Linked DNA regions of Mus musculus. The protein of the gene in region 3 purifies or fractionates together with the protein of the main gene of each other region. This does not show direct contact. Links are inferred from orthologs where the notes say so. Each region holds a gene or a part of one and is shown on either strand. Other genes may lie near its edges. The genes, in order: Arhgef2, Fuca1 and Mark2.

Region 1 (9,856 bases), on a different chromosome or scaffold from region 3:
ACAGCTGAGCGGGTCATTTTCTGTAAGGGAAGATGAAAGACTAAGGGGACAGAAAGGCTGGAGCCCAGGCTCTGAAGCTGGCCCACCCTGGCATCCGCCCCATGTTGGCCTAGGCACAGCTTCTGGGAAATGAGTAAGAGAATGCCACAGATCTGTGGTGACGAGCAAACCAATGATGGTATGAAAACTAGACCAACATCCTCTTGCCCAGTAAGGGGTGGCCGTTGATCTAAGAGTAAGCTGGGTGTAGTGTCACATGCCTTTAATAGCAGTACAGGAAGGCAGGTTTTGAGTTTTGAGGCCAGCCACATCTATATAGTGAGTTCCATGACAGCCAGGGCAGCATAGAGAGGCCATGTCTCAACAAACAAGAGATCTAGGAGCGCAGTCCACAAGAGTCTCGAGGGGCTGCCCTGTATAAGCACACAGCTCCCATACGCTACCCTGGGGATGGGAGAGTTTGGGTTTGAGCCGTGAGAAGGCTGGGCTTGGCCTTGGAGGTCCTTGCTCACCCGGATGAACTGTTGGAAGCGTTTGTCTCGAGCATACAGCTCCTTATAGAGCTTTAAGGCCTTGGTGTGGCGGCTGCAGAACTCTGAGTAGGTCTTGCGCATCTGCTCAGCATTGGAACCTGAGAACTGGAAGTCGGGAGAGCAAGACTAGGTGAGCATTTCCTACAGAGCCGCACCTCAGCCCTCAGCACACCTCTGGCCTTCAGTTAGGCTGCTTCCTCCTCTCCAGTTGTCCCCTGCTTGGCTTCCCTTCTGATCACCAGAGTTTGGCTAGAGCTAAGAACTGTTTAGTCCTAGGCCAGTAAGATGGCCCTTACTAGCAAGCCTTGCAACCTGAATTCAAATCCTGGGACTCACATGATGGGGAAGAACCAACTCCCAGGACTGCCTCCTGACCTCCACACGCTCACACGCATTCATGAACGGGCTCAAGTGTGTCTTCTCCTACCTGACTGATGAGCAAGTCACCCAAACGATGGATGACAAAGTTCCGGGTGCTGCCTGGACATAGAGCCTGGCGCCGCCGTTCCAGAAGCTGATTAAGGAAACGTGTGTGAATGTCACTGAGTTCATCCACGCAGGGGAACAGGCCCTGGACCACTTCTGGCTCCATCTGCAACTCTTCCAGCATCCCAGTGCGAAAGAGGCGGGTCATAATCTTCAAGGTTCTCACGTGGTGCAGCTCTGTCTGGATCAGCTCTACGGGACAAAGGGACATTTGTTCCTGCCGTACTCTACCTCGGGCACAACTCATGGGATTCTTATGTGGATCTCTTCCAAGTTAACGCTTGTGTGGCTGTCGTCTCAGACCACTTCCTTGTCATTTCAAGCAGTACACTCTTTCAGGGCAAGAGTTCTGTGTGTTAGAGGTGTAGGCTTCCCAGTTCCCGGAACAGTGTTGGCCATGGGAGAGGCAGGATGAAGACCGAGGACTGACTTGAGCAAGAGATATGAGTAGAGCATTGGGAGCTGGGTGCAGTGGTATGTACTCAAAATCTCAGAACTCCGGAGGCTGAGGCAGGAGGACCGAGAGTTTGAGACCAGCCTGGCCTACATGCTGAGACTCTAATCTCTTAAATATAAAATTACAAAATTGTCAACAGTGCTGGGCGGTGGTGGCGCACGCTTTTAATCCCAGCACTTGGAAGGCAGAGGCAGGCGGATTTCTGAGTTCGAGGCTAGCCTGGTCTACAAAGTGAGTTCCAGGACAGCCAGGGCTACACAGAGAAACCCTGTCTCGAAAAACCGAAAACAAAAACAAAACAAAACAAAACAAAAAAAACAAAATTGCCAACGGCACCAAGAAGTAGGTGTACAGGGAACAAGTTGGTACTAGCTGGGGACATGGAGGCCAAGGATGGGATGAGGGTGTCCCAACAGGTAGGTGGCAGGGAGAAGACTCAGGTAAGCAAAGCCTGGATTAAAAGACAGGTGCAGGGGAACCAAAGTGGCCTTAGCATACCATAGATGACATCTTGCTTCTTCATCACTTCCTTTTTGTGCTGCTGCAGGAAGCTGCTGTCCACGGCAAGGCTCCAAGAATCCGCCTCAAAGTCCTTCTCATCCATCTCAAAGTCGCTCATCAGCTCATTGTAGAACACTTCTACACCTGCGTGTGCATCAGTGCCGCTGGCACCTCAGAGCCTAGCTCTCCCATCCCTACATCCTCTTCCTTCCCATCCCAGGCTTCTCACACCACCGTCTTGCCAACACGATTCTCCCCAGGGCCGGGTCTGCTCACCTTCATCAATAAGGGATTCCACGGACAGGGTTCGGTTCCGCATGTTGAGGGAGTCTGTGGACTGGGAGAGGATCTGACGCAGCCCCAGAGGAGACTCATCATTGAAATGTCTGAAGGAAGTGGAGGCCATCTGCATCACCCCAACTCGGGCAGGAGGTCCCTTCCCAGGTTGGGACCCAAGCTTGGGCTCCTAGGGATAGCTATTCTGTGCTGGAACTTATCTTTCTCGTATCTGTCTCCAGCTCTGAACTCAGGGGAAGACACAGCGCTCTCATGGGCTATACTCTCTCCTGCCAGGCCCCCTCTGCCCCAAACAGAAGCTCACCCAGCAATGTTGGTAGTGGAAACACTTTTGGCCAAAGATAAGGAGGAGAGGCCCCGCCGAGAACCCAGGAGGGACTGCCGGAAGCTGTCGGAAGGGTAAATGGCAGACGTTGGCCGCTCTCTGGTGGTCGCTGTAAGGAAGGAGGCCAAGCAGGAGAAAGCTTAATTCCCTGGCTCTTTGCTCTCCCAGGCTCCTCACGGGGAGCCATGGGGAACTGTCTGGCCTGTCCTCAGCTCCCTAAGAGGCAAAGAAAATTGGCAAGGCCCATCAAGGTAATGCTACTGTCCACTGTGCAAGCCACCACCATGAATTAAGAGCCTGTTCTTATATGTTCTTCCCACCCCCACCCCAACCCAGCCAAGCCTATAAGCAAACTGAAGGCTGGAAATGTGAGACCTGTCTGCAGTGATCCAAGCTGGGGAGAAGGAACCTGGGCATCACGCTTTCCTGAACTGACAGTGGACACTCAGTCCCCAAATGAAGTATAGGTAACAGCATGTGGCAAGGCTCGAGTAACCTGCCATCCTTGTCCCTCATCCCTATGTGGACTAGCCTGTCTACATACTAAGCCCCAGAATAAGGACCATCCTTTATGGCACTCCCTCCCAAGGCACTTCCAAAAGGAGCTTTGTGTGTCTGGGTGTGACCTCAGGGGGGCAGCAGAGCCCGTGGGCTCAGTGGCTTGGTGGCCCTGTGAACTCACTCTTACTTCGAAGGGAGACAGACTGCAAAGCAGTGTTGTTCCTCAGCAGTGCAGCTTTCTGTTGCTGTGACACAGAGCAGAAGAGAGACACCACAAACAGCTGTCACCCAAAGACTGCCCTGCCACACACCCAGAACAAGCCAGATCCTGGCATCCGCCCTCTTGGGAGAAAGTTGACCCCGCAGTTAAGGACATCGGGATATAGGTAAACTAGTGTGGCAGGGCTGTGTTTACACAGGCCGAGGGTCTGGGATGCCCCACGGCAAGGAGAGGGACAGAGGGTGAGGGATGTGTGGAAAGGCCCGCAGGGATGGCGATGCCCTCCCCGCAAGCCCTCTGCCCACCCTGCCATCTAGCTCACCTTCTGCTTGACCTTGGTACAGTTGGCCAGGGTGTCTTTACAGCGGTTGTGGATGGTCACGTTACATGCTGGCAGGGTGGGGGTAGAGAGGGTAAGGGAGGGCTGGGGTGGTACTAGGGGTGACACACCCACATGTAAACACCCAACTCCCCAGGCCATATAGCTTGTAGACACTCTCCCAGAGTTGTTGGTCATTATCACATGTGTGTCCTCCCCCCTTCCTTCAAGCAGGTACTGAAGTGAGAGGGGTCTGGTGTGGACCATCCAGGAGGTTGGGAAATACTACAGCCCGGAGGACCAGAGGGAAGAAAGGTGTGTCTGCTGCTTGGGAAGAGCAAAGAGCACAAAGGAGATGACACTGCAGATGATCACGGGGGCTCCCAAGACCAGAAGCTGACAGAGAGCCAGAACTCACAGTGGTCTCCGAGGAAAGCTCCCCACTCACTTCACAGATGAAGAATCTGCTCTGAACGCTGCTTGCTTACCTAGGTCACCCAGCTACACTTAGATGTGCTCAGATCTAAAATCCATACTCCTCCATGGATATGCCAGAGGCTCCTGCCTACTGCTTCAAAGTCTGGACCAGTGGCCCTTCCCTTTCCCATCTTGGCAGCCTTCTGCATTAACTCCATTCTGGGGGCCTTTTCTCTTGTAGGCCTGGGAAGTTCTGTTCCCCAGTAAGGCAAACTACAGCTCCCACACTCCATCTGCTTCCCCCCATCCCCCACCCCACCTCTCCATCAAGTAGGAAAGGAAAAAGGAGTAGCTGAACTAGCTGAGCCTGCACTCGGGACCATGGCTGTTCCCTTCCTGACAGGCCCTCAGCTCTACAGCTCCCCCCACCCCACCCCCAAACACCACAGGAAACTCTGCTAACTCAGGCAGACAATGCCCAACACCACGCTCACTTCCACAAATACAAGGCACACAGGGTGGGGCAGAAGGGGCCGACAGAAGCCAGGCTGTGGCAGTGCCCACCCCCTGGAGCTCCCTTCCCCTACCCACAACACCTAGTGTCTCTGAATCGAGCCCCCGCTTTCCACCTGCTCTCAAAATAGTGCTACCCACCTCCCCAGTTCCCCTGGCAACAAGCTTCCGGATTGAGTATTTTGCCAGGTCTCTAGAGGGATCTAGATTGGGGTTACCTCCTCATCCTTTTGGCTCTAGATCAAGTGGTAAAGAAGTGGGGGGGGCAGGCCTCTCTGGTTCTTTTTGAGGGGGGTAGGCCTCCCTGGTTCTATCTGGGATTCCTTTCCAACATCCCAAAGGGATTAGGAGGCTAGAGTGGAGTTGTGTTGGTCAGTATCAAGGTACAACACTCGAGTCTACTCCAGGGAAGGCATGGGGATGGGGGTGGGGGTGGGGGTGGGGCAGGGCGGAGCTAGAGCCCTCTGCAATGGTATCCTAAGGAGGTCGGAATTCCTCTGTCTCCTTCCTGGGGCAGGATAAAGGTTAGACATGGGCAAGATTAGGAGTTTTGAGCCCTTCCCTCCATCATTCAGGTCTCTGCTGAATTTCTTTATCAGGGATAAAGAAATGGATAATCCCAGCCTGTCCTTGAATCTGCAGACTTCTTTTCCCTCACATGCAACAGAAAGGCAGGGGCAAGGAGTCCTCGCGTCTAAGCTGTCCAGGGAGATGGGCAGAGGCAGCTGCAGGCTGGCAGCTTCCCTCCGCTCCCTACTCCTCTCCCACCCTGCATTATAACACACATTCCTGCTCATTCTCCAGGCAGTTCTCCGAACTGTCAGCAGCTGTTCAAGAGGCGAGGGGGATACCCAAGCCAGCGACAGCTGCATGGAGAGTAACAACAGCCTCTGTCACCCCACACCCAAGAGACCAACCAGCTTACGCCACATTCCAATAGCCACCACCCAGTGTGGGCAAGGGTGGCAGGAGACCAAGCACCTGAGCATGACACTTGAGCCCGGCTGGGATCCGGAAAATAGAGTCCTTTAAAGGATCCAGGGTGGGAAGGACAGACGGACGGGAGAACTAGAGGTCGATGGCAACTGAGGCTAGGTCACCTTTGGGACCAAAAACTTACTAGGACAAATGAGGGCTTCCTTGGCTGTGATGCTCTTGTTACAGGCATAGCACATGGTCATGCCGGAGACGGAGATGGTGGTGAAGAGGTGGCCGTTGGTATAGCGGGCATCTTTAGCTTCCTTCATCTTCTCCTTTTCCCGGGTCTGTGGAAAGATTGAGAGACAGAAGTGAGGTCAGAAGACACTCAGTCAGGTACCTGGCGTCCAGATAAACAGCAGAGGCATGGGAGAAATGCCTGCCTAGAGAGGCTGAAGTGACAGCAATTGCTAAAGCATAACCCACTATGCACGGGTGTCCGAGGTGGCTGTCCAGGCATGACCAGGCCCTGGGTAGTCAGTCCCTGAGGCTTCGAGGCCTCTGACCTACCTGACCCCGGCGACTGGGCTGCCTCCTGTTCCCACTCATCTCCCTAGCTCTAGAGCTCTGCGTCCTCACTCCACCTTCCAGCCTTAGCTCTGCTCGCCCCCGGGCTGCTGTACGATTTCTCTGTGCCGGGGGAAGATGCGCAGAGAGAGGGGAGGACCAGTGAAGCAGAGGGTGCCAGCTCACCAGCGCTTTCCAATCTATGGGAGTTAGCTCCTCTCATAACCATGACAACGGGTGTTGGAGCTGCTGTCTTCAGAGCAGTCATGGGGGAGCAGGGATGGCAAAGCAGGAGATTCCCCTATTAGATTGGCTGGGGGTGGGGGCCAGGATGCCTCTTCAGACACCATCAACTCAGAGGCCAGGATCCGAACCCTCTAACTCTTCTACTTACACTCAGTCAAAGCCCAAAAGAGATCCCTCACTAGCAGAGTGTGTGTGTGTGTGTGTGTGTGTGTGTGTGTGTGTGTACGTACAGAGGTGGGGGCTCAGTACCCAAGAAACCCTGTGAACTCCAGATCACAGCGCTAGGCCTGCAGCACTCTTGAGTACCTTCTTACCCCGAGGTCTATGTTTACCTTTGCCTTTAAGCTTCCCCTACCTCCTCCAGCTTCTGTCAGAGTCCTTGACTTCTTTACTGTTCCTCCCCAAGCTCCAAGAGCCAGAAAAGGTGAAAAGACAATGTCAGCTGTGGTAGCCCATGCCTGTTAACTCCTGACTAAGACAGGAAGACTAAGACTATTGCAGCAAGCCTGGGCTACTGAACAACTGTCTCAAAACAACAACAACAACAACAACGTGTATGTGCATGCGCACACACTCATGCACAAACAGCACTGAGGTGGAGGCAGGAAGCTTGGGAGTTCAAGGACATCCTTGGCTATATAGTGATATGAGGCCCTATCTCAAAACACCACCACTACGATCAAAAACAAAACACAACACAAAACAAACAGGTTAGAAGACAGCTTAAAAGAAAAGCAAAGGCACCCGATGACCCTGGTCGATTCCCAGGTCCCACACGGCAGAAGAACAAACTGACACCCACGTCCAAACCATGGCACGGAACCAATAAGTCAGAAAAGGCAGGATAAATGGAACAGTGGGGCACGGCTTTAATCCCAGCACTGGGGAGGAGAGGCAGGCCGATCTCTGAGTCTGAGGCCACACTAGCCTACGTAGCAAATTCCAAGCCAGTCAGAATGTCACAGTGAGACCCTGTATCTAAAGTAATTAGTTAAGTTAATTAATTAAAGATGTTAGAGGACAAGCCAGGCAGGAGTGAAGCTCGTCTTTAAACCTAGCATTTGGGGCTGGAGAGACGGCTCGGCGGTTAGGAGCACTGACTGCTTTTCCAAAGGTCCTGAGTTCAAATCCCAGCAACCACATGGTGGCTCACAACCATCTGTAATGAGATCTGACACCCTTCTCTGTTCTCTGGTCTGTCTGAAAACAGCTACAGTGTACTTACATATAACAATAAATAAATCTTTAAAAAAAAAAAAAACTAGCATTTGGGTGGCAGAGTCTCGCAAATCTCAGACTTCGAGGGCAGCCTGGTCTACATAGTAAGTTCCAGGAGAGGAAAGCCAGAGCTGCACAGAGAAACCTTATCTCTAAGGGGGAAAAAATGTTAGGAGACAAGGACATCATTCAGGTGACTGGGGCTGAGAGTAGGAGCCCCAAGTTGAGGACACTGGCTGGGACCCTAGGACAAAAAGTCACAATTCAGTGAAAAGCATTCAGCCTGGGCCTGGATGAGCAGTCCTGCCTACGCCACTAACCATGCTGGCAGTTAGAGGGGAGGATGGGAAAAGGGGAAGCAGAAAGGTGCTGAGTCAACTGTCCAGGGGCTGGAGAGCAGTGGACCACAGAGCCCTGGGCCTTGGGGTGGCCAAAGAGCAATGGACCAGAGAGCCCTGGGCCTTGGGGTGGCCTGAGGATGATGGAGCCCAGTGGTCTAGACAGAGATCACCTCCTTATGTCCCCCCTTCACTTTACCACCTCCGCCATACATTTTTCCTTTCTCCCCTAACTATACTGTTGGGGTTTCATTTGGTAACTTTTTGATTTATTTTGTTTTGAGTCAGGGTCTCACTATGAAGCCCTGTCTAGCCTTGAACTAAAGGTAATCCTCCTGCCTCAGTCACCAAAGTTCAGGACTTGCAGGCGTGCAAGTCAGGGCTCTTCTTTTTATCTGGCCTGCTCTCTTCTCTCCTTATCTTGGTCCTCTCTCCTGTCCCCGCTCTTGCTGCAGACACTCCTCCATACACTGCACCGTCTCTCTCAGCCATGCATCTACTTCTCTAAGGGATGGTCCTCCCTCCCTGTCCCTGCGGCTGGCTCCTCCTCTGAGGGACACTCCTCCTGCAGACTCTAGTATGGGCCATTTCAGCATTCCCTGCTCTAGTGGCTCCTACCTACCTGAATCAATAGGAAAGTCTCCCACTGCTTGGCACTCCAGCTGCCTTGTGGGAACTCTTTAATTGTTTGTTTTTGTTTTTGTTTTTTAAGATCAAAGTCACCTCAAATTCACCTCCTTGGACTTCAAAGGCCAAGCCTAAATATCTCTTGCCACATGCTCTCTCTCTCTCCCTCTCTCTCTCTCTTCACCTCTCTGCCCTCCCACGCTTCTCTAGGACACCAATCTAGAGTATGAATATTTATGACAAATTTAAATAAAAACAAACAAGTAAGTAAAAGGAGACTAGCAGACACCAGAACACCGCGCCTGGCAAGGGCCACTCCAGAAAGAACAGTGTGCCTGCAGACATATTCTAAAGCTGTGATAGGTTCCTACCGCACAGCTCTCTGTACTACCTGCCTGGACAATTCTGTTGGGAGTGGCCAAGAGACTGGGACCAGAAAGGGCTCTGATAGCCCTTTCCCTCCTTGCACCACTGCCCACACAGACCCAGCTTCTCTAGTCCTTGCCTTCCACCTAACCAAAACTCACCCTCTCTCCAAGTGACCCCTGCTCTAGGTGGGCAAGCAGAGGGCAGCAGCCGCAGCAGCAACAGCACATCCCAGCACCAGCGATCCGGCCCTGGCACGGCCTAGCACTATTGTCCCAGAGATAGCTGGACTGAGCCCGCCCCAGGGCTCAAGCTGTGGAGAATGGACTAACATGGGAACTGCTTACTGGGGGGTGGGGGTTTGGCTGGATTGATTCACTGTCTCCCGTTTACACACAGCACGCAGAACAGCTCTTCACCTCCTCCATGTCACAGTATGTCCAGGAGAAGAAGCAATCGTAGCTAGGGATGGTGTACACCCCAGGAAGCCCAGACACTGGGAAGGCTGAGGTAGGAGCATGGTCAGTTCAAAGCCAACCTGGGCTACTTAGCAAGACACTATCTTAAAAGAATATGTCTAAAAAGGGCAGGGGATGTTGCTCAGGGTTCAAGGGTCTAATAGATATGAAGCACTGGATTTAATCCTAGCACCACAGGGGCAAGAAAGACCAGTCATTCCTCAGTCCAAACATCCACCTTAGGGCTCAGGGCCCTTTCTGCTTGACCCAACCCTCTGCTGTCCAGCTCTGGATGTCTTCTTGCTTCTTCTTCAAAGATCTCGGAAGTCTTGCCTGCTCACGGGCACTGTCCAGGCTAATGTTACACGTGGGGTTACCTGACTATCAAACGGAACAAGCTTAGGTGTTTTGGCACGCTCCTGTAGCGCCAGCACTTGGCGAGATGAGGGGCAGAAGGATCAGGAGTTCAAGGTAACTTTCCTCCTGAAACCCAAAAGCCTCACCCATGTACAGCGGGCACCCAGTGTGTGCTGGGGAAGGGAGGTAAAA
Region 2 (10,802 bases), on a different chromosome or scaffold from region 3:
TCTGGTAACTGTGACACTATTATCTGGTAAGTACAGGTCACAAACTGGGCACGGAGAATTTATTCTAGGTGCGAGAACAGCAACTACTGACTAGTTTATCTATCCAAACCTTCAAAATAATAAGACACAAGGCAGATAATTTGTCTCTTGACAAAACTGTGCTAACGCGTGACATTAATGAACTTAGGGGCTAGTGACAGGTAATGCTTAGTGAGACACTAGCCTTCATGGGAGGACATGTAGACAATTCCGCCGTTAGACCTCAAGTCTTATCGATTTATGACTTGAATTGTTGCCGTAAACTTACTATGAGCTTATTGGAATGTAAAAGTATTTAGAAAATCATGTGATCAATTACCCTTCTCTAATAGTTCTGCCTGCTGGTTGTATGAGGTAGCTTTTAGAGACAGTATTTATACTGAGGACGGAAGTAGAGGGAGTGAGAGTGACAAGACCAGAGATCATCAGTCTCTGGCCTTCGTGCAGTGCTGGGTCCTGTGAAGGCCCGGGCAGGTCTGTGGCAGGAGGGACTGACAGAGTCTCCTTACCTTTGTGGCCGAGGTCGTTTTGGGGGATTTGAGGTTCACGATCCCATTTTCTGGCCAGTACAGGAAAGTGGCGTAAACAGTTGCGTTTTTAGTAGTGTACCTGGGAACAAAGAGACATCACTGCCCACGTCTGAGTCCAGCTGTTATCCCTAACATTCCCCCACACCCCAGTTAGATAGCTCACCCATCAAAGCCCTGGTGTTTGTCATCACCACTAGGGAGTGCAGTAAGGTGCTCGGGAAGGAAAGGGTCTGGAAAATTCATTGGGATTTTCTATTATCCCTTCACTGGGTTTTGTTAAGGTTTGTTGAAAAATTAAAATTAACCCTTGGGCAACTTATTTTCTAGAGCTTTCCCTGATGCCTCACTAGCCTTAAGCTTGCTGCCTCCCCCTTTCTCCCAAAAAAGAAGAGAAAGAAAAGAAAGACAGCCTAGTGGTAGCCATTAAAGGTGGTCCATGCACCATTCAGGAAGTAGATGCAGGTACATAGATATCTGTGAGTTCAAGTCCTTCCTGTCTACACACAGTTACATGCTGTCTCAAAAACAAACAACAAGCTGGGCTGTGGTGGTGCACGCCTTTAATCCCAGCACTTGGGAGGCAGAGGCAGGTGAATTTCTGAGTTCGAGGCCAGCCTGGTCTACAAAGTATGTCCCAGGACAGCCAGGGCTACACAGAGAAACCCTGTCTTGAAAAACCGAAAAAACAAAAACAAAAACCTTCTGCTGGGTGTGGTGATGCAGACATAGAATCCCAGCTACTAAGGAGGCTGAGGCAGGAGGACAGCTTGTCCCCAGGAGGTGGGGGACAGCCTACGCAGCATGGTGAAACCATGACCTACACATAGGAAAGGTACTCATTAGGAGCCGACGCCACAGAACTTGGTATTGAAACCTTCTCAACTCCAGATCCACGAGAAAACAACAGAGGGTGAAACAAGTGAAACACACAAGGGTGACACAAAGGTGACACATCCCCTGGCCCGAGAGGTCACCGTGTTCAAAGACAGGATAACAACCAGCTCACAGAAAATCATCCATAGGGGAGAAGAACAAAGGCACTCTGGTGTGGCACCAGGCTCCCTGCTCAGGCCTGGCGCTCCGCGGGGTCCTCACACAGATGATGGTAACTAGTCTTCAAATCGAGTCTAGGAAGCCAAGTACCATCACACACTTTGCAGTTGAAAAAACTGAGGTCCAGGGTCAAATAACTAGATCTAGAAGTCCGTGTACAAATAGGAAAAATTTAGGGTGGAGCTCTGCACAGGGTGGGTGGAGACAGAACCCAGCTGGGACATGAATCTTACAGCAAGAGGCAAGTAGCCAGGCAAGGACCTGAGGATGTGCCAGGTCCACAACAGCCACAGGCCAATGCTGGCCCACATCGGAAGTATGAAGTACAACACTGATAGGCTGTCCTGTGTGGTTTGAGCTCACTTAGAAGCTGGCTCTGGAAGCAGGGCGCCTTCCACCGAATTTTGGACCCAAGCATATTTGTCTCAAAGTGTCCTGAGGCCCCTTATCAGGGGCTGGGCTGCCCCCTAACTCCACGTCAGGAACGGAAAGAGAACAGATCAGAAGCAAAACCCCTGAGTTTTTGAGAACAGCTAGGTTAGCCATCTCCAACAGGGCTCTCATTGTCCCTGATACAAAGCACCCGTGTGTGTGTGTGTGTGGGGGGGGGTGGCGGGTCAGGAAGCCAGAGGCTCAGCCATGGGCAGCTCATCCGCGGAGACAAGGAACACTTGAAACTCCAGCTGACTCCCCCAGCTTCCCCAGTTGATTTCTGCTGGTGTTCGTGAGCCTCAGAGTGATGACATCACTCACTGTATTGTCTTACTTGTTTAGTGAGAAGTCTCACTCTGCTCTACCCAGGACTCCCTGTCAGGAACTCCAGCCTTAAGGGCTTCCCCAAGTGATTTTGGTTGGGTGTTTAAAGTACTCAGTTTAATATTTTGCCATCTATCTATAATCTATAATCAATCTACCTATAATCTATGTATCTATAATGTATGTATGTATGTATCTATCTATCAGCTATCACTTGTTACTAATTCTTTGACTTTAGCTTTACTATCACTCTGAACTGAACCATGGCTATTATCAGTCACTCTCCTGACCACAAGAGAAGGCAGGGCTCACCACACAACCGTCTTGTTCTTTTCCGACTGCACCCTCCAGGGTTTGGAGGCATAGATGGCCTCCCCGTTGATCTGCAGCCACTTGCCGACAGCAAGAAGCCTTTCTTGGAAGATGGGGACGATCAGACCATCTTTAGTTGGTCCAATGTTGAGAAGATAGTTGCCTCCCAAACTTACCGTCTGAACCAATTCCTAAAGAAGGCAGAAACAATAAAAACTGAGGTGTGACTACCAAGCCTGGCAGTGTCTAGAACACACAGACATTAGGGAATGCTAAGAGAAAAATCCCTGGCTTCAATCCTTAGCACCACAAAGGGGAAATGGGGGGGGGGTGAGTTACACCTTAGAGCTGGGTACGGCAGCAAATGTTGTTTAAGTACAGATTATATGCACCTTCGGCAAAACCGATGAAAGGGAAGCTGGGCGTGCTAGCCCATGCCTGTAATCTCTGAGGAGGGAAGAGGCAAGACGACCAGGAGTTCAAGGCTAGCCTTGGCTACCAAATTTGAGGCCAGCAGGGACTCCCAGAAGACTCGGCCTCAACAAAGAATACATACCATAAAGAGACATTCTGAAGACACTGGAGAGCAGGTATCTGCTGTGACCGCTAACAACTGTTGCTCAAGGCAGTCCAGGACTAATTTTACATACAGAAAAATTTAAAGGCGAGAGCCCATTAGAGAACACCTAAGGAAACTTCCATTGACTTTTGGTGTCTCCTCCTACTCTTGATTTTACGTAGCTGCAGCTACACATGGCACTTTATTCCATACCGAAGCAGCCGGCTGAGTACTCTTCAGTGTAGCTGTCCCGCCTACTGAATCACCCAGTAAGGAATGGAAACCACTCACATGCGAACTGAAACACCCCTGGGAAGGGGCTGGGAAACGATGGCCCAGAGGGGGCGTGCTTGCTTTATGAACAAGAAGACCTGAGCTCAGAACTCAGGTTCAAAACAAGACACACAAAAACCAGCAATGGCCAAAAGACTCTGGGTGTTGTGCTGGGTGTCACAAACACACTTGTGAACACATCAAAACAAACATTAGCACATGTTATGTTACCTGTGTACACACACACACACACACTCCACAAAGACAAGAGAAAGTTCTGGAAGAACAGCTCTGTAGAAAGAGCTTCCCCTGAGGCTGAGAAGATGTCGAAGGCAATGACCTCAGACAGTGAAGTCCCTTGCCACCAATGTGAGTGACGTAAGTTTGATCCTCGGGACTCAGGGTGGAAGGAGAGAAGTGACTCTCAAGCTGACCTCTGACCTCTGCATATACAACATGGCACACACTTGCCCCCACCCCAAACAAATAAGGAGACATAGTTTCAAGTTTTCAAATTCCAACCCCTTCCTCAGTGATAGGGACAATGTCCTTAGGAGAGCTTTGGTCTTGCTGGAGCAGCTGTGGCCTCGATGAAAGGAGTGTGTCACCGATGGGGTGGGCAATGAGACCCTCCTCCTACCACGTGACAGTCAGTCTTCTCCTGCTTGCCTTCAGAACAAGATGTAGAACTCTCAGCTCCTCCTGCACCATGCCTGCCTGGATGCTGTTATGCTCCCACCTTGATGATAATGGACTGAACCTCTGAACCTGTAAGCCAGCCCCAATTAAATGTTGTCCTTATAAGAGTTGCCTTGGTCATGGTGTCTGTTCCCCCCATTAGAACCTGAAGACAGTCTCCGTGTACTGTGGCCCGAGCAGGCTGGAGCCACTGGACTCCTGGTCAGAGGGCAGCTCAAAGACAGACGAACAGCTATGGCAATGCTCTTACCTCGATGATTTCATTTTCCTTGGCGATGGTCGACATGGTCATGTCTTTTCGATAGCCCCAGGATGCTCTGTCCATGCTGGTGCACATCTCCCACTTGTGGTCTGGCAAGCTCTGTGGCTTGTATTTGTCTTGACAGTTGTAGTACCCTCCATGATGACAGGAGCAGTTCTGGCCCCACCGGTCATTCACTATCACCTCATCCTAAAGGAGGGAGGAGAACGGGGTCATCGGCACAGCACCGCCTGGCTCCTTTATGCGACGCAGCTCCCTCCGGCAACAGTGTGTTTGGAAGGAGGAAGAGCAGGACTACACGAGTGCTTTCCCCTGGTGCTCGCTTGCTCTACAGAGCACATGCGGGACTCTAGACGTTTTTTGGCTGTCCCAGTGAGGGCCGTGCTGCTACCCAGTGAGAGAGACCAGAGATGCTGAGAAATGTCCTACAGTATTGAAGACAGTGCCTACTACAAAGCAGCAACCAGGGCTGGAGAGATGGCTTGGTGGGTAAGAACACTGGCTGTTTTTCTAGAGGACCCAGGTTCAATTCCTAGCACTCACATGGCAGCTCAAAAAAAAAAAAAAAAAAAAAAAAAAAAAAGGAAAGAAAAAGAAAAAAGAAGAGAGCTGTCTGTAACTCACACAACCCTCCCCCCAGATATACATGGAGGCAAATTCCAATGCACATGAAATCACCAAAAACCAAAGCAGCATCCAGCCCCTATCGTCAGCAGTGCCCGAGCCCAGGGACCCAGCAGAGGGATGCATGGACTAAGTGTGTATATAGAGAGAGTGCCTGTGGCCCAGGAGATGGCTCAGAGGGTAAAGCACTTAATTCGTAAGCCTGAGGCCTCTCCAGCACTCATTTGAGATGGCGCAATGGTTAAGAGTGCTTGATGCTTTGACAGGAGATCTGGTGCCGCGTTCTGGCTTCTATGGGGTTTTGCCTACACACATTACTCATAAACTTACACAGGCAAACATTCATACACATATAATAAACAATTAAAAAACTTGTGCGAGTGTTTTGCCTGCATGTATGTCAGTGCACAAGAAGGCCAGAAGAGGGCATCAGCTGCCCTTGTGCTGTAGTTCCAGGTGGTTGTGATTCACCTAGTGAGAGCATGCAGGGTAAGGAACTCAAAGAGCCTCTGCTCTGAGCCCTCTCCCCAGCCCTGGCTGTCATTTTTTTTATTTTTATTTTTAATGTGATTGGCATTTGCTTCCTTCCCGACACTGCATCTTTGCTTATGTTTTTTTTTTTCTTTTGTGATTCTCCTTAATGGGGCTGTCATCCCATGCACTATACGACCCAGCCCCATGAAGGCCCAGCCCGGAGGAAAGGCACCTACCTCTCTGGGTAGTCCTGGCTGTCCTGGAACTCGATTTGTAGACATGCTGGCCTCTGACTCATAGAGATCCACCTGCCTCTACCTCCTCAGTGCTGGGATCAACGTTGTATGCCATCCCACCCAGCTGTTTAATTTGTTTCTTGAGATAAGAGTCTTACTATGCAGCCATGGCTAGCCTGGGAACACACTGGGTAGACCAGGCTGGCCTCAAACTCATAGAGATCTATCCACCTGTCTCCTGAGTGCTGGGGTTAAAGGCGTGCACCACCACATCTGGTCCATCTCAAAGTCTGAATGATGGCCATCAACTGCTCACTCATAACGGTACATAACTGAGGCAGAGACAGTGGTGCCATGGTGAGTTACAGAGTGTTTTCCCTTTAAACGCTGAGCAGAGACAGATGTGGACAATTTAGACCATGGCATCCCGTCTGTGTTAACTACCTGGGGATGAACTGCACATCTGGGAGTCCCCAGAGACTCGGGGGACCCCTGGAAGCCAGGCTTGCCCTGCTGTTGGCCTGCCCTCCCGTGAGTGAGTGAGTGAGTCTGTCTCCAGCATGAGAGCCACCTCCACCAGCACTCACCACTCAGGGGTCTCTTCTTTCTCTCCTTCCCATTTTCTGAGTTTAGTAATGACTTCTCAATACGACCCCCACAGACAGGACTCCACCAGGCCACCTTCATCCAAGCTAAGTTTTAGTGCTTCTCTCTCTCTCTCTCTCTCTCTCTCTCTCTCTCTCTCTCTCTCTCTCTTCCTTATATGTAAGTACACTGTAGCTGTCTTCAGGGCGTCAGATTCCATTACAGATGGTTGTGAGCCACCATGTGGTGGCTGGGATTTGAACTCAGGACCATCGAAGAGCAGTCGGTGCTCTTAACCACTGAGCCATCTCTCCAGCTCCCGGTTTTGGTGTCTCTGATTACACCCAGGCCGGTGCATGCGAAGCACCTCTCTACCACCAACTAAGCTATTTCTCCAGCTACCAAGCTCCCCCCTCTCTCTCATTTTTTGAAACAGAATTTCTGTGTGGTTCTGGCTGTCCTAGAACTCACTCTGTAGACCAGACTGGCCTGAAACTCAAAGAGATCTGTCTGCTTCTACCTCCAGATGCTGAGATCAAAGGCGTGCGCCACCACCGCCCGGCCCGACCTGCTTTATACTTAGATCTTTCTTTAAAATCTATAAACCAAGAACCTGTAAAATCTTTGGCATTTTCTATCAGAGATCAAGACCTCCGTCATTCAGTCCAAGGTCCATAACACAAGGTGTAAACTGGCAGCCTGTGTACTGGCCAGTTACAGGGAAGGCTCAGTTACCCAAGCACCCTACAAAACCCAGCATAGGGCTGGTGAGATGGCTCAGTGGTTAAGAGCACTGACTGCTCTTCCGAAGGTCCAGAGTTCAATTCTCAGCAACCACATGGTGGCTCAGAACCATCCCTAACGAAATCTGATGCCCTTTTTTGGAGTGTCTGAAGACAGCCACACTGTACTTACATATAATAAATAAATAAATCTAAATAAATAAATAAATAAATAAATAAAACCCAGCATAAAGCTAGGAATGGTGCCTCACACCCATAATAATCCCAGCTCTTGGAGAGCGGAGGCACGATTGCTAGGACTGCCCCTGCTACAGCCTACCTACCCCAGCTGAGACTATGGGTAAGTATCAGCGTGCTCATTCACACTCTTTTTTTTTTTTTTCAGAACCTGTAATTCATAAGGTAGTTGATAACCACCTACCTTGACAGGGCTATCGTTGTAGAGCCAAGCAAGGAAGCTGGTGGAGTTCCAGTACGTGTCAGGACACTCCCACTCCCCGTCGGACCAGATCAGGTCAGGCTTGTAGCTGGAACACATGGGACGAGAACAGTTTGCCATCAGAATCTGTATCTAGTCCAGTCTTACGGACAGGTATTACAATAAATATTTACAAATTAGAACTGGGAGTCTGGCTCTGAGGGAGAGCACTTGCCTATCACATGTGAGGTCATGAGTTCCACTCCTAGCTTGTCAGAAGGAAGTCTCTTGATTGGAAAGGACCATAAAAATCACAATGCAGAAACTAAAGAGATAAGAAATCTTTTTTTTTTTTTTTTTGCTAACACAACCACAGTCTAAAAGAGCCTCAGAGACAGGGTGTGGAGAGGTGGCTCTGTAGTGCGGGGTCAGCAGTGGATGGCTCAGGCTCTGGAAGAGAACGGGCTGCTCGTCTAGAAGTTGAGACTCTCGTCTGATTTCCCACACCCACAATGGAGGTTCACAATCACCCATCCTTCAGTTCCCCTGGGGATCTGATGCCACTTTCTGGCCTCTGTTGGCACCAGGCGTACATGGAGAGCATAGACAAACATGCAGGCAAAACACTCAAACAGCTAAAGTAACGATTTTAGGGCCGGGTGTGGTGGCGCACGCCTTTAATCCCAGCACTCGGGAAGCAGAGGCAGGGGAATTTCTGAGTTCGAGGCCAGCCTGGTCTACAGAGTGAGTTCCAGGACAGCCAGGGCTACATAGTGATACCCTGTCTCGAGAAAAACAAACCAAAACAAACCAAAACCAAAAACCAAAAACCAAAACCAAAAAGTAACAATTTAATTTAATTAAAAGGAGAGCTGCAGGGGCTGGTGAACTGGCTCAGTGTGTAAAGGCGCCTGCTTGCCAAGTCTCACAACCTGAGTTCAGTCCCGGGCACACTGACTCTGCAAGTGGTCTTCTGACCTCTGCATGCACACCATGGCACATGCATGCACACACGTCCCAAATAAACTAAAGGGTAATAATCATAGTAATAATAGCAATAGTAATAATAATAATAAACTGCGGTACTAAGGCACATTTCCCCTAATCTCCTTCGCTGCCCCTTTAGAAAAGGAACTACATATAATCAGTAACTAATTAGGGGGGCTGCTCCCAGGGCTCCAGTCACCTCAGGGGGTGAGCGAGCCTGCTACTGCTCGCAGAGAATTGGGTTTGCTTCCCAACGTCATGGCGGCTCCCAACTGCTTATTTCAGGGAATTTGATGCTCTTTGGTTTCCTCAGGCACCTGCTGCCCATGGTGTACACGAACAACACATAAATAATAATTAAGCTTTGACAAAGAGGTTGGTGCTTGGGCAGGCCAGGAGGCTTGCCTTGAGCTGGCAAAGCTTCTGCTGCCAAGCCTGATGACCAAGCCTGACCCCCAGAATCCTCCTGGAAGGAGAGAACCAACTTCCGCAGGCTGACCTCTGACCTCCTCCACATGCGTGCTCATAAGGCATACGTGCTCACGGACACATCGTAATCAAACGTGACTGTGGCTCAGTGGCAGAGCACTGCTCAGCAAGTTGAAAGACCCATGTCTTGTCAGGGACCAAGAAAATAAAAAAAAGAGCTAGGTGTGGTAGCATTTGGGAACCTGAACCTGAGTTATTGCAAATCAGAGGCCACCCTGGGGCTCTATGCCCATCACCTTGTCAGCTCCTGTGATTTCTAACCCCAGTTCAGGGATAAAGAAGAAAGCAAGGGGGCTGGCAAGATGGCTCAGTGGGTAAGAGCACTTAAAGACTGCTCTTCCAAAGGTCCTGAGTTCAAATCCCAGCAACCACATGGTGGCTCACAACCATCTGTAATGGGATCTGACGCCCTCTTCTGGTGTGTCTGAAGACAGCTACTTACATATATAATTAATAAGTAAATAAATATTATTAAAAAAAGAAGAAAGCAAGGGAGAGACTAAGCAAGTTACTCTAAGCCACAAACTTTACAAAAGAAAAAAGCTAGGGGCACTGGCACAGGCCTATAATTCCAGCACGAAGAAAATCCCAAGCCATCAGGATTGCTATAGATGTGAGGTCAGCCAAGGTTAGATAAGACTATAGAGGGAGGAGAGAGGAAAGAAGAAAAACAACAACAACCCAAAAACTAAACTTGATTTCAGAACTCCAGACACCTGCACTTGTCCTGCCCTCTACAGGTGTTTTACAACTGTCCTGACAGTCATCTGACTAAAACCAGATGCAAGGGGACTGGCTAGAAGTTTGGGACAGTGGCTCATGGCTGTAATCCCATCACTCAGGGGATGCTTGAAATTAGAGGCCATCCTAGGTTACAAAGGAAGACCTGTCTCAAAAACAAACTAACCAACCAGCCAGCCAGCCAGCTGAGAATGGAGGCTCAGCCTGAAATCCTCACATTTCAGAGGCTGAAGCGGGAGCACCAACAAGGACTACAAAGTGAGATCTTACCATAAAAAGAAAAGCACACGCCTTTAATCCCAGCACTCGGGAGGCAGAGGCAGGCGATTTCTGAGTTCCAGGCCAGCCTGGTCTACAAAGTGAGTTCCAGGACAGCCAGGGCCACACAGAGAAACCCTGTCTCGAAAAACCAAAAAGGCAGGTGGAGCTCTGAGTTTGAAGCCAGTTTGGGCTACATAGTGATTTTCAAGATAGTCAGAGATACACAGAGAAACCTTATCTTGAAAAACCAAAGAAAGAGAGAAATTCAAACATAATAACAAAAATAAAATATATAAAGTGAGAGTTAGGGCGCGTAGCCTCCCCCAGCCTTGAGCAGGCTGGCTCAGACCTGTTCTGCCACTGTTAAGGAGACCACTCAGGGTGGAGTCTTCTGACCTAGATAGGCCAATTGTTCTGCCACCTTTGAGCTTATCTCCAAGACACTGCTACCTGTCTCAGGAAGACAGGTTCAGAAACCTGTCTTCCTGAGACATTCCTGAATAAGCAACAACTTGGTGACAAAGCATCAAGAACCTGGCGTGGTGGGGGATGGGCCTTCCCCCTTTATAAACTCAAGACTCTTAAGTAAACTTTGGGCCTTGATCAGTATCTTTGTCTTGGTCTCTTGCCATCTTCTCTCCATTCAGGCCCAGCCTCCCCTTCAGGAACCCGGTTCTCGTGGCCGCGGGCTACAGGGGCGAAGAAGCCCCCCTTGGGCTCCAAGGGTCCCCCATGCAGGGGTGGCTCCCACATATAACTAG
Region 3 (10,902 bases):
CTGTAATGAGATCTGACGCCCTCTTCTGGTGTGTCTGAAGGCAGCTACAGTGTACTTACATATAATAAATAAATCTTTAAAAAAAAAAAAAGAGGAGCAGGGATTTGGGCGCTGAAAAGATGGCTCAGAGGTTAAGAGCACTAGCTGCTCTTTCAGAGAACCTATGATCCAATGCCCTCTTCTGCCCTTCTTAGGTACCAGGTATACAGGTGGTCCAAAAATACACAGGCAGACACATATACACATAAAATAGTAAGAAAAAATTTAAAGTCCCCATCAGAAAAAAGACCTTATTAAAATACTAATAATTTTTGTTTTCGTTTGTTGGAGACAGGGTCTCTCTATGTAGTCCTGGCTGTCCTAGAACTTGCTATGTAGACCAGGCTGGCCTCAAACTCAAAGATACCTGCCTCCACTGGGATTGAAGGTATGTGCTACCATGCCTGGATATAAAAATAATTTTTTAAATTAAAAAATGAATGAAGAGCTGAGGCAGGAGGATCTCTATGGGGTTGAAGCTAGCCAGTTCTACAGAGTGAGTTCCAGGACAGCCAAGTGTATACAGAGAAACCATGTCTAAAACAAACAGACAAACAAACAAACAAGTAAATAACGATGGTATTCAATGGCTATCCCAAAAGGTTGTGGTGGGGGCAGTGACACTCTGCTAGGTTAAGCAGGGATAGCCTGCAGCCTCCAGTGCCAGCATGGGGAAAGGGTGAGTTCCTCCCCCAGGTTTGTAAAGGCTTATTCTTCTTCCTTGTGCTGAAACAGAAGGGGAAAGCACGCAGCTAACACGTCAGTGACTCACACTCATGTTTGATGAAGGCTGGGAGAAAGCCTAGAGAACCCAAGCTTCAAATGCAAAACGACAAATACTGGAATCTCCCATCAAGAGAAGGAAACTCAGTCACCTATCCTGTTTGTCATCTTGCTGAGATTCCAAGGAAAGGCCAAGCTGAAACACCAACCTTTCCATATAGCTCTGAGTTTTTGCTTTGATAGGAAAGCATCAAACCTGGCAGCAGCAACATAAGCAGAAGGGAACAAGGCCAGCCCTCCACACATACCCCTCAGCACAGAGGCCAGGCAGCTGGGCTTCCAACTTAACCAAGTAGAGGGAAGCAGCTGAGCCTGGGTACAGCAGGAACCTTGACCAGGCAGCCTAAGGCTTAGGTGGCCAGGCTGCCTCCTGGCCCTTTCCATCTGCTGAAGTTACCACATCCCAACCCATTAACGGGCTTCAAAGTGCTGCTGGGGGGAGTCCATTTAGCACAGACACTATCACGGGGCCAAAGATGGTACCCAGCCCCCAACCCACTTGTCAATAATGTGCCACAAAGTCTGAGGCCTGACTGCATTCTAAGCATAAAATATTCATTCAAGTCAACATAATACATATGTAGGGCCATTGTAGAAGCTCCTGAGGGAAGAGAAATGCCAGTTAGGTAGCTAAGTGCTCCATGAGAAAACAGTTCATGAAGGCCTGGAGCTAGTCTTAGTCAAATGCCCTTTGAGAATCTGGCTGTTCTTCCAAAGGGAGACCATCAGCCAGAGAAATGCTGACTCCTGAGAGATCTCACTGTACAAGCCTCTCAGGCAAACAAGGTTCTCCATCTCTTTTTACCTCATAAGTATCAACTAGGCCAAGACATGTATGCCCAAGATTTTCAGCCCAAACTATTGTCACAGAATAAAAGATGCACCTACCCCTATGCAAACTTGGTTTCAATCCAAAGCAGGCCAACTTCCAACCGCTTACTTGTATCATCTGTGTAGCTAGCTACCCAAATCCTCAGAATGGAGAAGCATTATTATAATTCACTCTACAATTACTTTTAAGGTCAAAAAGTACAGCGTCACTGTCAAGTTTCAGAGAGACATTACTCTAACAAGCCTCACATAGACTCTCTAAGGTCCAGCAGATTAAACTGTGAGGTCTAACATTCACTCACATCCACACCCTGAAGGCAGAGCCCCACCTCATCATCAAGAGTCAAATCACAGAATCCCACATCATCAAAAATGAAGTATTCAGACCAGTGTTGACCAAAAGGAAACTGGAATCTCACAAGGTGTCTATGGGATGGCTTAATTCTTCCACCAAACCCGTTCTCACATCCACCTTAATGGAAAGCAAACCTTCAGCCATTGGCTTGTTAGGCAAATGCTACACCACTAAATTATAGCTAGTCTTTTTACTTTGGATCTGGAGAGACAGAGTCTCACTAAGTTGCTAGCCTTGAGTTTATCCTGTAGCTCAAACAGAACTTGGATCTGAGCCTGCCTCAGCTCTATACTGCTGGGTATGAGGCTTTTTGTTGCTGCTGTTATCCTTATCAACCACCACCACCACCACATTTATTTAGACACAGAGAGACAGAAAGGGAGAGAGAGGGAGAGAGGGAGAAGGAGGGAGGAAGTGGGGAGAGAGGGAGAGAGGGAGAGAGAGAATGAGAACGAGCATGTGTGTTTGTTAGTATTTTGCCAGAGTGAGGTTCAGCTTTTCCACCAAGTATGTGAGTCTCAGGGATCCAGCTCAGGTCATCAGGCTTTGTGGCAAGTGCCCTTACCCATTAAGCCATTTTGTCAGCCCTGAGCAGTATGTTTTTATAGGATTCTATAACTTAGATTTGTCCTCTTCTTCAATCTTCCAGACTCCTCTTTGAGAATATATTCTGCCACCCACTCTCTAGAAGAGTTGGGGGCAGAACTGTCATTTGACTGATGGGAAGCAAAAGGCTCCTGTTTTCTATCAGATACTCTGTTTCCAGGTTATGAAGCTATGTGTCCCCTCCCCCAGAAATTAGGGAAAGCGCTAGCCTGGGGTAGGTGAACTCTGGAAGTTGTACCCTTCTCCACACTTGACTGTTAAGGCTGCTGCTGGCTGGAAGACAAACAGTCATCTTGCTGATTACTTTCAAGGCTGCGAAGCCTCCAGGCCAGCAGAGGCATTTGGAAAAGCAGCTCACAGAAAGCTCAGCTCACAGACTTTAGAAACCCCAAAACCACTAGCCCCAGGTCAGAATCCTGCAAAAGGAAGTCATCTCTGGTGATAGTGCACATCTGAAATCAGGTGTCACCAAAATTATCTTCAAGACAGAGCTTGGCTTTCTTTTATCTACTTTCACTGTTAAAAGCAGAGTTGACAGCAAACAGGCAATCTTCTGCAACATAAGGTTTATTTTTATGCTTCAACATGTTCTGTGTGTTTCAGAAGTGATCAAAGAGCTCCTAGAAACAGCTTATCAGCCACAATTTTAAAGAAAGAAGGAGAAAAGGAAGAGATTGGAAACATCCACAGAAGTTTGCTTACTTATTCTCTGGTAAAACCAGCTTAACTAATTTAAATCTAAATAAGGTGACGGTGGAGAGGGACCTGCCCAGCCAAATTCTTTGCTTTTTATTTCCTAACACTGAGGTGACTGCAATGACTGAGCTTCCACAATGGCTTCACTATGTGCAATGGGACTGAGGAGAAGGTATTTAGTTTCAACCTGGTAGCCGGGTCTACTCTGAAGAAGGTGGATGTTGAACTGACTCTTGCTTTTTGTTTTTGTTTCTAAAGCACACAGGGTTGGGCTGGGGAGTATAACGTGTCTATCAAGAACAAGGCTCTGAGCAAATCAGCAGCACAAGAAACAAAGAGAAACAGCTAGGCACCTGGAAGGGTGTGCACCTAGCTTTTCCAAGTCCAAGTTTTTTCGAAGGCGGTGGCAGAACATGAAGCTGACAGTGTGAGTGGAGAATCAGGAACTGACTGCATGCAGCTCGGTCCACCAAGAACAGAAATGGAGCCTAAGAGGAGCAGAATGACAAGGCAGCCTCTGCTCTGGACCAAGTTATCACGAAGCAGCTCACGTGCCAAACTGGCCACTGATTACCACTCTCCTGAAATCAGTGTACATGCATCAAACCTCAACTTCATGACCCAATACTGTGTGGAGCACATCTGAGCACACAGAAGACCAATAGTGCATTTACACTTAGTAAACAGTCAAAGAAACCACACCGAGGCCACTCTGCCCAACACGGTGCCTCCACAGCCTGCCTCTCTGGGGAACAGGCAGGTCAACCACGCCCCACATGCCTGAAAGTACCAGTCAGTCACTTGGCCTCCTTCTCCCTGCTCATAACCAAGTCTGGGAAAGTTCTCCAGTTAACTGAGGTCTAGCTACTGCGAGAAGTAGGAGAAAGGAGGATGCACGGACCAGCCTCAGAAGAGCCTGGACAAAGTGTTTCCCAAGAGACACTGCTGGCAAGCAAGGGACTGTGCAACACAGACCAAGCTCCTCAGTTTCTGAAGATCTCTGTCCCAGGCAGGACTAGCTGCCAGACCAGGCATGAAATCAATCAACCATCCCTCCCTCTCAACCCCCTGCTCTGGCCCAAGAGCACACAGCCCCTATGTGTTATGGGTCCATCGTGTCAGAAAACTGTCCGGATGCTTCTTTAGCTCCAGGTACAGACAGCAGGAGAGTAACAGCAGCAAAGCACAGGAAAGAGATAAAGAGGGTTCTCAAAGAAGGAAGTTGATGCTAAGCAAACACAGCAGCATCGCGAGCCTACCTGGCTACAGAGAAAACAGGGAACAGGAGGGAAACACCAGGGTGTGCTGAGTAAAGCCTGCTCCTTTCCAACGAGTTTGTGTTTAGTAAAATTCACCCAGAAACATGTGACAGGCAAGGGACTGTCCAAAAGGCAGGCAGAGAGGGACACTAGAGACAGTGAAACAAAGGAGAGAAGTGTGAAGTGGAAGCAATGGCTCATAGGTGAGAGGACGACACAGAAAAGGCAAAAGCTTGGGTGACAAAAAGCAGTGATTGCCAGGATGAGAAAGGGAGAGCATAGGCCAGCCCAGGAGCTGGTGCGCAGCATAAGCAGTTAGCATACACCCTGGGACCCGCAAAGGCTAGCTAAGAGAAAGGGAATGGACAGAGCATACAAGCTGTAAACAGACTGGGAGGGGAGGAGGAGACCCATTAGGACAGGAAAGGCAGCACTGATTAAGGAGGTATTGTAAGAGAGATGGGGGAAGGTTGAGCAATAGGAAGTAGCAAACAAGAAAGATACTATGATACTATGAGAAGTGACAGCCACCAGTTTGGAAAGACAGTATCGGAATTTGTGTTGCAGTGTAAGTAGGCAGTAAAGTAGGGACTGATGCAGCTGATGCAGCCCGCAAAAGAGTGAGCAACAGGTTATGTTAATACAGCCAGACTAAAACACTGACTTTCCCACGGTAGAGGAGAGCCCAGGGATAATCTGGAAGAGCATTCAGACAGGAGGCCCAAGGACTTAAATGCCAAACCCCAGGGGGAAGAGAACAGGAGTGATCCAAAGACTCTGAAGGGAGCGGTGACTGGAACCCCAAAGGCAACCTGTGGGAAAACTATGCGCATGACAGCTGTATGGGAAACACGGAAGCGACACATGCCAGTGCCAGGAGCCTGGGAGCTCCTGCCGAAAAGAAGGGAAAGTGATGAGCAAGGAGTAGGCGAACGATTTGGAAAGGTGACGAGGGTGGAGCTGGTGGGTTGCAAGCAACAGGGAGAGCCCAATTTGGAACGGGAAAGGAGGATAGAAAAAGCTGGGGAAGTGAAAGGGGAAAGGGACCGAGAACACACTCCCGAGACACGGACTCTTGAGGGAGAAAACCGAGGATTGTGAGAGCCGGTGCGGGTAGAGAGGGTACAAAGCTAGAGAGATGCAGAAAGAGGTGGGCAACAATCCGCGGCAAATCGCGGGGTATTATTCGAGGAGCAGGAAGGTGGCTGCTTTAAGCGTGGGTGGAGGAAGACCAGAAAGGCCCCTGAGAGAAAAGGGAAGAGAGGGGGAAGCTGGGGAGATAGCACGGAAGAGCGCAGGAGGGCGGTGAGAGGCGAGGGGCGTTTGGCAGAAATACAAGTGTGCAGTTCAGTCAGGACGACGTGGGTCCCAGGTCAGGATTCGGAAGAGGGATGTGAAGGGCTGGAACCCAGGGCCAGATGACAGCCTAGGCTTGTAGAAGAAAGCAGGAGCACGAGGAGAACTGAGGGAGGGAGCCTCCGTAAGGTGCAGGGGCCCAGTCACAGAATTAGGGGAGCCCTGAGGGCTCCTTACCTGCTCCGTGTCCCTTTCGTTCAGCGTGGGTAGGGGGGTCCGAGCGCTGGACATGGCGCCGGTATCTCAGGGGAGGGAATGGAGAAGCTTGGAGGAAGATAGGGAAGGGAAGGCTAGGAGCCCGGCCGGGCGGGGCTTCTCACAGCAGGAGCACCCGCTGCATGGGCCCCGGCCGGGGGTGCGGGGAGGCCGGGCGATGGCTCACGCCAGCCCGGTGATGCACCGCTCGGGCTAGGCCTCGCCGGCTCCGAGCGGCTCCGGACCGCACCCCCCCCCCCGACCCCCGGCTGGGTTGTGCCGCCTTTCGGCCCGGCCGCGCCGCTCCGCCTACTCTCAACCGCCGCAGCCGGCCGCCTGCCTCGCTCCTCCCCTGCCCTCAGCCGCACTGCTCCGCGCCCGACACACAGGCAGCCGCCGCCGGACCTGCTGCTCCCAACATGGCCGCCACCACCGCCAGCCCTCGGCTCTTTCCGCCGGCAAGAGCCGGAAACATCCGAAACAACTAGGAACGGGAGGGGGAAGAGCCTTTTCCTCTCGGCCCAGACGATGGGTGAATTCCGGAAACTACCGAAGAAGGTAATCCCCGGGGACGCGCGCACCTCCTAGATTCCGAAGACCGAGGTTCGGCTCTGTTTACGGAAATCCACGAAGAGACTCCCCGCACCTCCAGAGCCAACCAGCAGCCACGCCTACCGGCCTTTCTCCGCCCACTTGGAGCAAGCTTTCGGCAGTTTCCGGAAACAGCCGAAGAGGCTCCGCGTGTGCTAAACCGGCCACGCCCCCGTTCCGTCGCTCGGCCGAGAGCGGTAGTCAGCCATTTCCGGCAACACCCGAGAGCTGCCGAGGCTAAGAATCTATCTCTTCGTTTCTTTCCGTCAGTTTTCGGTTATTTTCAAACCTTGAACAGGCGTGGGTCACCTGTACCTGTTGTTTGACTTAGAAAATACCGCTATTAGCTGTTCCTACAACTGATGTCCTTTGAGCCTAACGCCAACTTCCCATCCGCATGTTTAGCTCATAAAACCCACTTTATCGCTCAACCTTGCTATCAACGTGTGAGTCAACTGCCAAGTGTAGTGTCATCCTATTGCCTGTCTCCTGCTTTGCACACCCGCCCATCTTGCGACTATCTTGGCTTCTAGAAGTCTATGTCAGCCTTATATTGAGTCAGTCCCCTCATTCCTCTGTAAAGCCTGGGACAGACACCAGGTCGGACAGGCACTGGGTCAGCGTCCTTGAAACTTAACACACCTTTAAGGTACAGTATTTTTTTCAGTATTGAGAAAAATGCTTGCGTGATCTTGGCATGGAATCACATAACAAAGGCCAGCAAAATAACTCAGTTTGATCCATGGGGATCCACATAGTGAAAGGGGAGAACCAAGTCTAAAACATTGTTCCATGAGCATGCTACCCTATACACTAAATAAAAATGTAATTATATATGTATATATGTGTGTGTGTATAATATATATACATATGTATGTATATGTATATATATAAAATGAGTTGGAGAGATGGTTCAGAAGTCAAGAGGAAGGACTGGTTGCTCTCCCAGAGGACTGAGGTTTAGTACCCAGCACCCATATGGTGGTTAACAACTGTCTAACTAGTTCTAGGTGGTTTGACACCTTCTGGCTTCCACTAGGTTGCACAGACGTACATACAGGCTAAACACTCATATACACAAAAGTTAAATAGATAAATACTACAACATAGGTCAGAATGCTGGCTCATTCAGAGCCTGTACTATTTTCCAGAGAATCTGGTCAGGTCCCAGCATCCACATCAGATGGCTCCCTACCCCTTGTAACTTCAATTCCAGGGGAAATGATGCCCTCTGGCCTCTACCAGCACCCGCATGCCAGTGATACACATAAACCCATAAAAGCACAAACATAGGCACATACAAATAAATATTTCTTTAAATTACACATAACATTTCCTTTCTGCTGTTAGTTTCGATTCTATGACACAGTTTCCCACTGTAGACCAGACTGACCAAGAACTCCTGGAGCTGCCTCTGCTTCCCAAGGGCTGGGATTAAAGGTGTGCACCAACCACCCTGTCCATCCAAGTTTTTGTTGTTCTTTTGTTTTTGCTTTTTTTGGAAACAGGGTATTAAGTAGCCCAGGCTGGCCATGATATGTAACCAAGGATGGTTGAACTACTGATCCCCGGCCTTCATTTCCTCACCACTTTGATTGCAAGTGTGCACTGCCATGCCCAGCCCTAAATGACTTTTAAAATATTCTACAATGTTTAAGTCTGGAGAGACCATCTCTTTTTTTTTTTTTTGGTTTTTTGAAACAGGGTTTCTCTGTGTAGCCCTGGCTGTCCTAGAGCTCACTTTGTAGACCAGGCTGGCCTTGAACTCAGAAATCCGCCTGCCTCTGCCCCCCAAGTGCTGGGATTAAAGGCGTGCGCCACTACGCCCGGCTTGGAGAGACCATTTCATTTTCATTTTCATTTTCATTTCAAATCTCCCTTCTAAGACAAACTCATGGCAAAAGAATAGGCACTTGTTGACGATAAGGATTCCTGGGGTTGTAGGATAGTGGGAGAGCTTTAACTCCCATGCCATGAAGGAGGCCCTGGGGTCAATCTCTAGAACGAAAAATAAAATAAAATAAAACAGACAACCAAAAAGGATTCCTCCAGCTGGGTATGGTGGTCTGCCCCTGTAATCTTAGCACTAGAGAGAAGCAAAGGGGGTTGGCGAGATGGCTCAGTGGGTAAGAGCACCGACTGCTCTTCTGAAGGTCCAGAGTTCAAATCCCAGCAACCACATGGTGGCTCACAACCATCCATAACAAGATGATGCCCTCTTCTGGAGTGTCTGAAGATAGCTACAGTGTGCTTACATATAATAAATAAATAAATAAATAAATAAATAAATAAATAAATAAATAAAATCTTTTTTAAAAGAGAGAGAGAGAGAGAGAGAGAAACAAAGGCAGAAGAAAAGATGGTTCGAGGCCAGCCTGGCCTACATAATGAGTTCCAGGACAAGCAGGGCTACACAGTAAACACCCATCTCTAAAACCAAACCAAACCACAAAGACAAGTAGATGGTGAGGTGGCTCAGTAGTTCCAAGCTTGCTGCTCTTTCAGAGGACATGGGTTTGGTCCCATGGGGGCTCACAAAGCTCTTCTGGCCTCCATGAACACTACATGTGCATAGTGGGTATGCAGGCTAGCAGGTAAAACTCTAAAAATAAAAAAGGTTTAAAAACTAAAACTAAAATGTAAAACACATTCCCCAGCAGGGCAAGGTGGCATGCTTTTAATCCTAGCACTTGGAGGCAGATGGAGGTGGATTTCTGTTGGTTCAAGGTCAGCCTGCTCTACATAGTGAGGTTCGAGATGGCCTGTGTTACATAGTAAGTCCCTGTCTTGGTATGAGGGTAGGAGGGAGGATGGCAAAACCTCAGAATAGTGCAATGAAAGGACCAGACCTCTTGAAGATGTCTTTTTCCTTTTCTGGGCCTCAGTCTCCCTGTTGATAAGTGGGTTTGTTGAATTCAACAACTCTGAGGTCTTTCTCAGCTTTGGAAAGCTCCCAGCTCTTAACAGAAGTCCATGGAGGACCAGAGCCCACTCTTCCCTTTCCTCTGGAGTTTACCAAATCTGTCCGTTCTGTACCCAACATAAAGCCATGGACTTGCTTAAAACATTACGAGACTTTTGTAAGTATCATTTTAACTGTATCTTGATTATAGTTTTCTTTTTCTTATATAAGTTTTATTTATTTTATGTAACTACATACTGTCCTTGTTCAGACACACTAGAAGAGGGTATCAGATCCCATTACAGATGGTTGTGAGTCACCATGTGGTTGCTGGGATTTGAACTCGGGACCTCTGGAAGAGCAGTGAGTGCTTTTAACCACTGAGCCATCTCTCCAGCCCTGATTATAGTTTTCAAGCATGGATTTTGTAGATGACAACACACTGTTGGAGTCCCACCAAGCAGAGGTAATAGCTCAACTCAGACTGACTTCTGTTTCAAGTTATCCCTGCCCATGGTTCCATAGAAGCTGGAACTATGCCCCTGACCCTCACCCTAAACTCAACAGGAGGGATAGAGTGTGGGTCCATGAATGTGAAGAAACTGAGAGAGCTCCCAGGGTCATAGGGAAAGGACTGACCGAATTGCTGAGTGGCACCCAAGAATTGCTCACAGTGAGAGCTGTGCAGGTGCAGGGAGGAGGAAGGAGGCATTCTGTAAGGCAAAGGAATCCACAGGACTCCAGGAAGCCTCCCCATGCCCCCCACCAGCTCCACACCAGCACCACCTCTGAGAAAGAAGCTGGGAAAGCAATGCTGTAGAGTGATGGGGAAAGGGATGGAGGCCACACCACGCCCCCACCCCAAATTCAAACATGAGAATGATCTGCCCTCTGGTGGCCAAAGGGAGTCACATTGCCGAGCCTGTGCTAGACGTCACTTCTAGGACCAAAGTCTGAAGAGCAGGGAGAGAGGACACTGAAAGGTAAAGGCAGAGGCATCCAGGGAGCTTCTCCTGACCCTAGATGACTCTGCTTCATCAAGATGCCACTCAAGCCCTGATCTTCCTCTTGGTCACTTCTCCTCCTCTCACAAGCTGTTAAACCAGTTGGCCCACCCAGACTCCTTCTGATCCAGCCTCTGGACACAGCAGAATATCAAGTCTAATTCCCGTGACATTTGTACTGGGCTAGAACACCGTCCTCAACTCCCCAGTAGGCTTAAGGCAAGGCTCACTTTGTGGCCATTTGCCTATGTAGTCACATGCAGCCCTGTTCTAGGAAGGCCTCTG

What was found.
Region 1: the proteins of Mark2 (region 3) and Arhgef2 purify together in Homo sapiens (affinity purification with western blotting; 3 studies listed by BioGRID and IntAct, with this or other methods). This does not show direct contact. The link is inferred for Mus musculus from reciprocal best matches to the Homo sapiens genes MARK2 and ARHGEF2.
Region 2: the proteins of Mark2 (region 3) and Fuca1 purify together in Homo sapiens (affinity purification with mass spectrometry; 3 studies listed by BioGRID and IntAct, counting the BioPlex papers as one, with this or other methods). This does not show direct contact. The link is inferred for Mus musculus from reciprocal best matches to the Homo sapiens genes MARK2 and FUCA1.

Annotation. Positions count from the first base shown.
Region 1 is NC_000069.6:88,625,765-88,635,620, reverse strand, and holds part of Arhgef2 (rho guanine nucleotide exchange factor 2), read right to left. Parts: intron 8,884-9,856; exon of another isoform or gene 6,097-8,883; coding exon of another isoform or gene 6,058-6,096; intron 5,835-6,057; coding exon 5,690-5,834; intron 3,711-5,689; coding exon 3,643-3,710; intron 3,346-3,642; coding exon 3,282-3,345; intron 2,709-3,281; coding exon 2,579-2,708; intron 2,364-2,578; coding exon 2,254-2,363; intron 2,122-2,253; coding exon 1,975-2,121; intron 1,212-1,974; coding exon 961-1,211; intron 639-960; coding exon 513-638; intron 21-512; coding exon 1-20. UniProt on the Homo sapiens protein: Activates Rho-GTPases by promoting the exchange of GDP for GTP.
Region 2 is NC_000070.6:135,926,769-135,937,570, reverse strand, and holds part of Fuca1 (tissue alpha-L-fucosidase precursor), read right to left. Parts: intron 7,673-10,802; coding exon 7,567-7,672; intron 4,673-7,566; coding exon 4,472-4,672; intron 2,882-4,471; coding exon 2,691-2,881; intron 649-2,690; coding exon 549-648; intron 1-548. UniProt on the Homo sapiens protein: Alpha-L-fucosidase is responsible for hydrolyzing the alpha-1,6-linked fucose joined to the reducing-end N-acetylglucosamine of the carbohydrate moieties of glycoproteins.
Region 3 is NC_000085.6:7,335,066-7,345,967, forward strand, and holds the start of Mark2 (serine/threonine-protein kinase MARK2), read right to left. Parts: upstream 6,796-10,902; 5' UTR 6,157-6,795; coding exon 6,103-6,156; intron 1-6,102. UniProt on the Homo sapiens protein: Serine/threonine-protein kinase. Involved in cell polarity and microtubule dynamics regulation. Phosphorylates CRTC2/TORC2, DCX, HDAC7, KIF13B, MAP2, MAP4 and RAB11FIP2. Phosphorylates the microtubule-associated protein MAPT/TAU.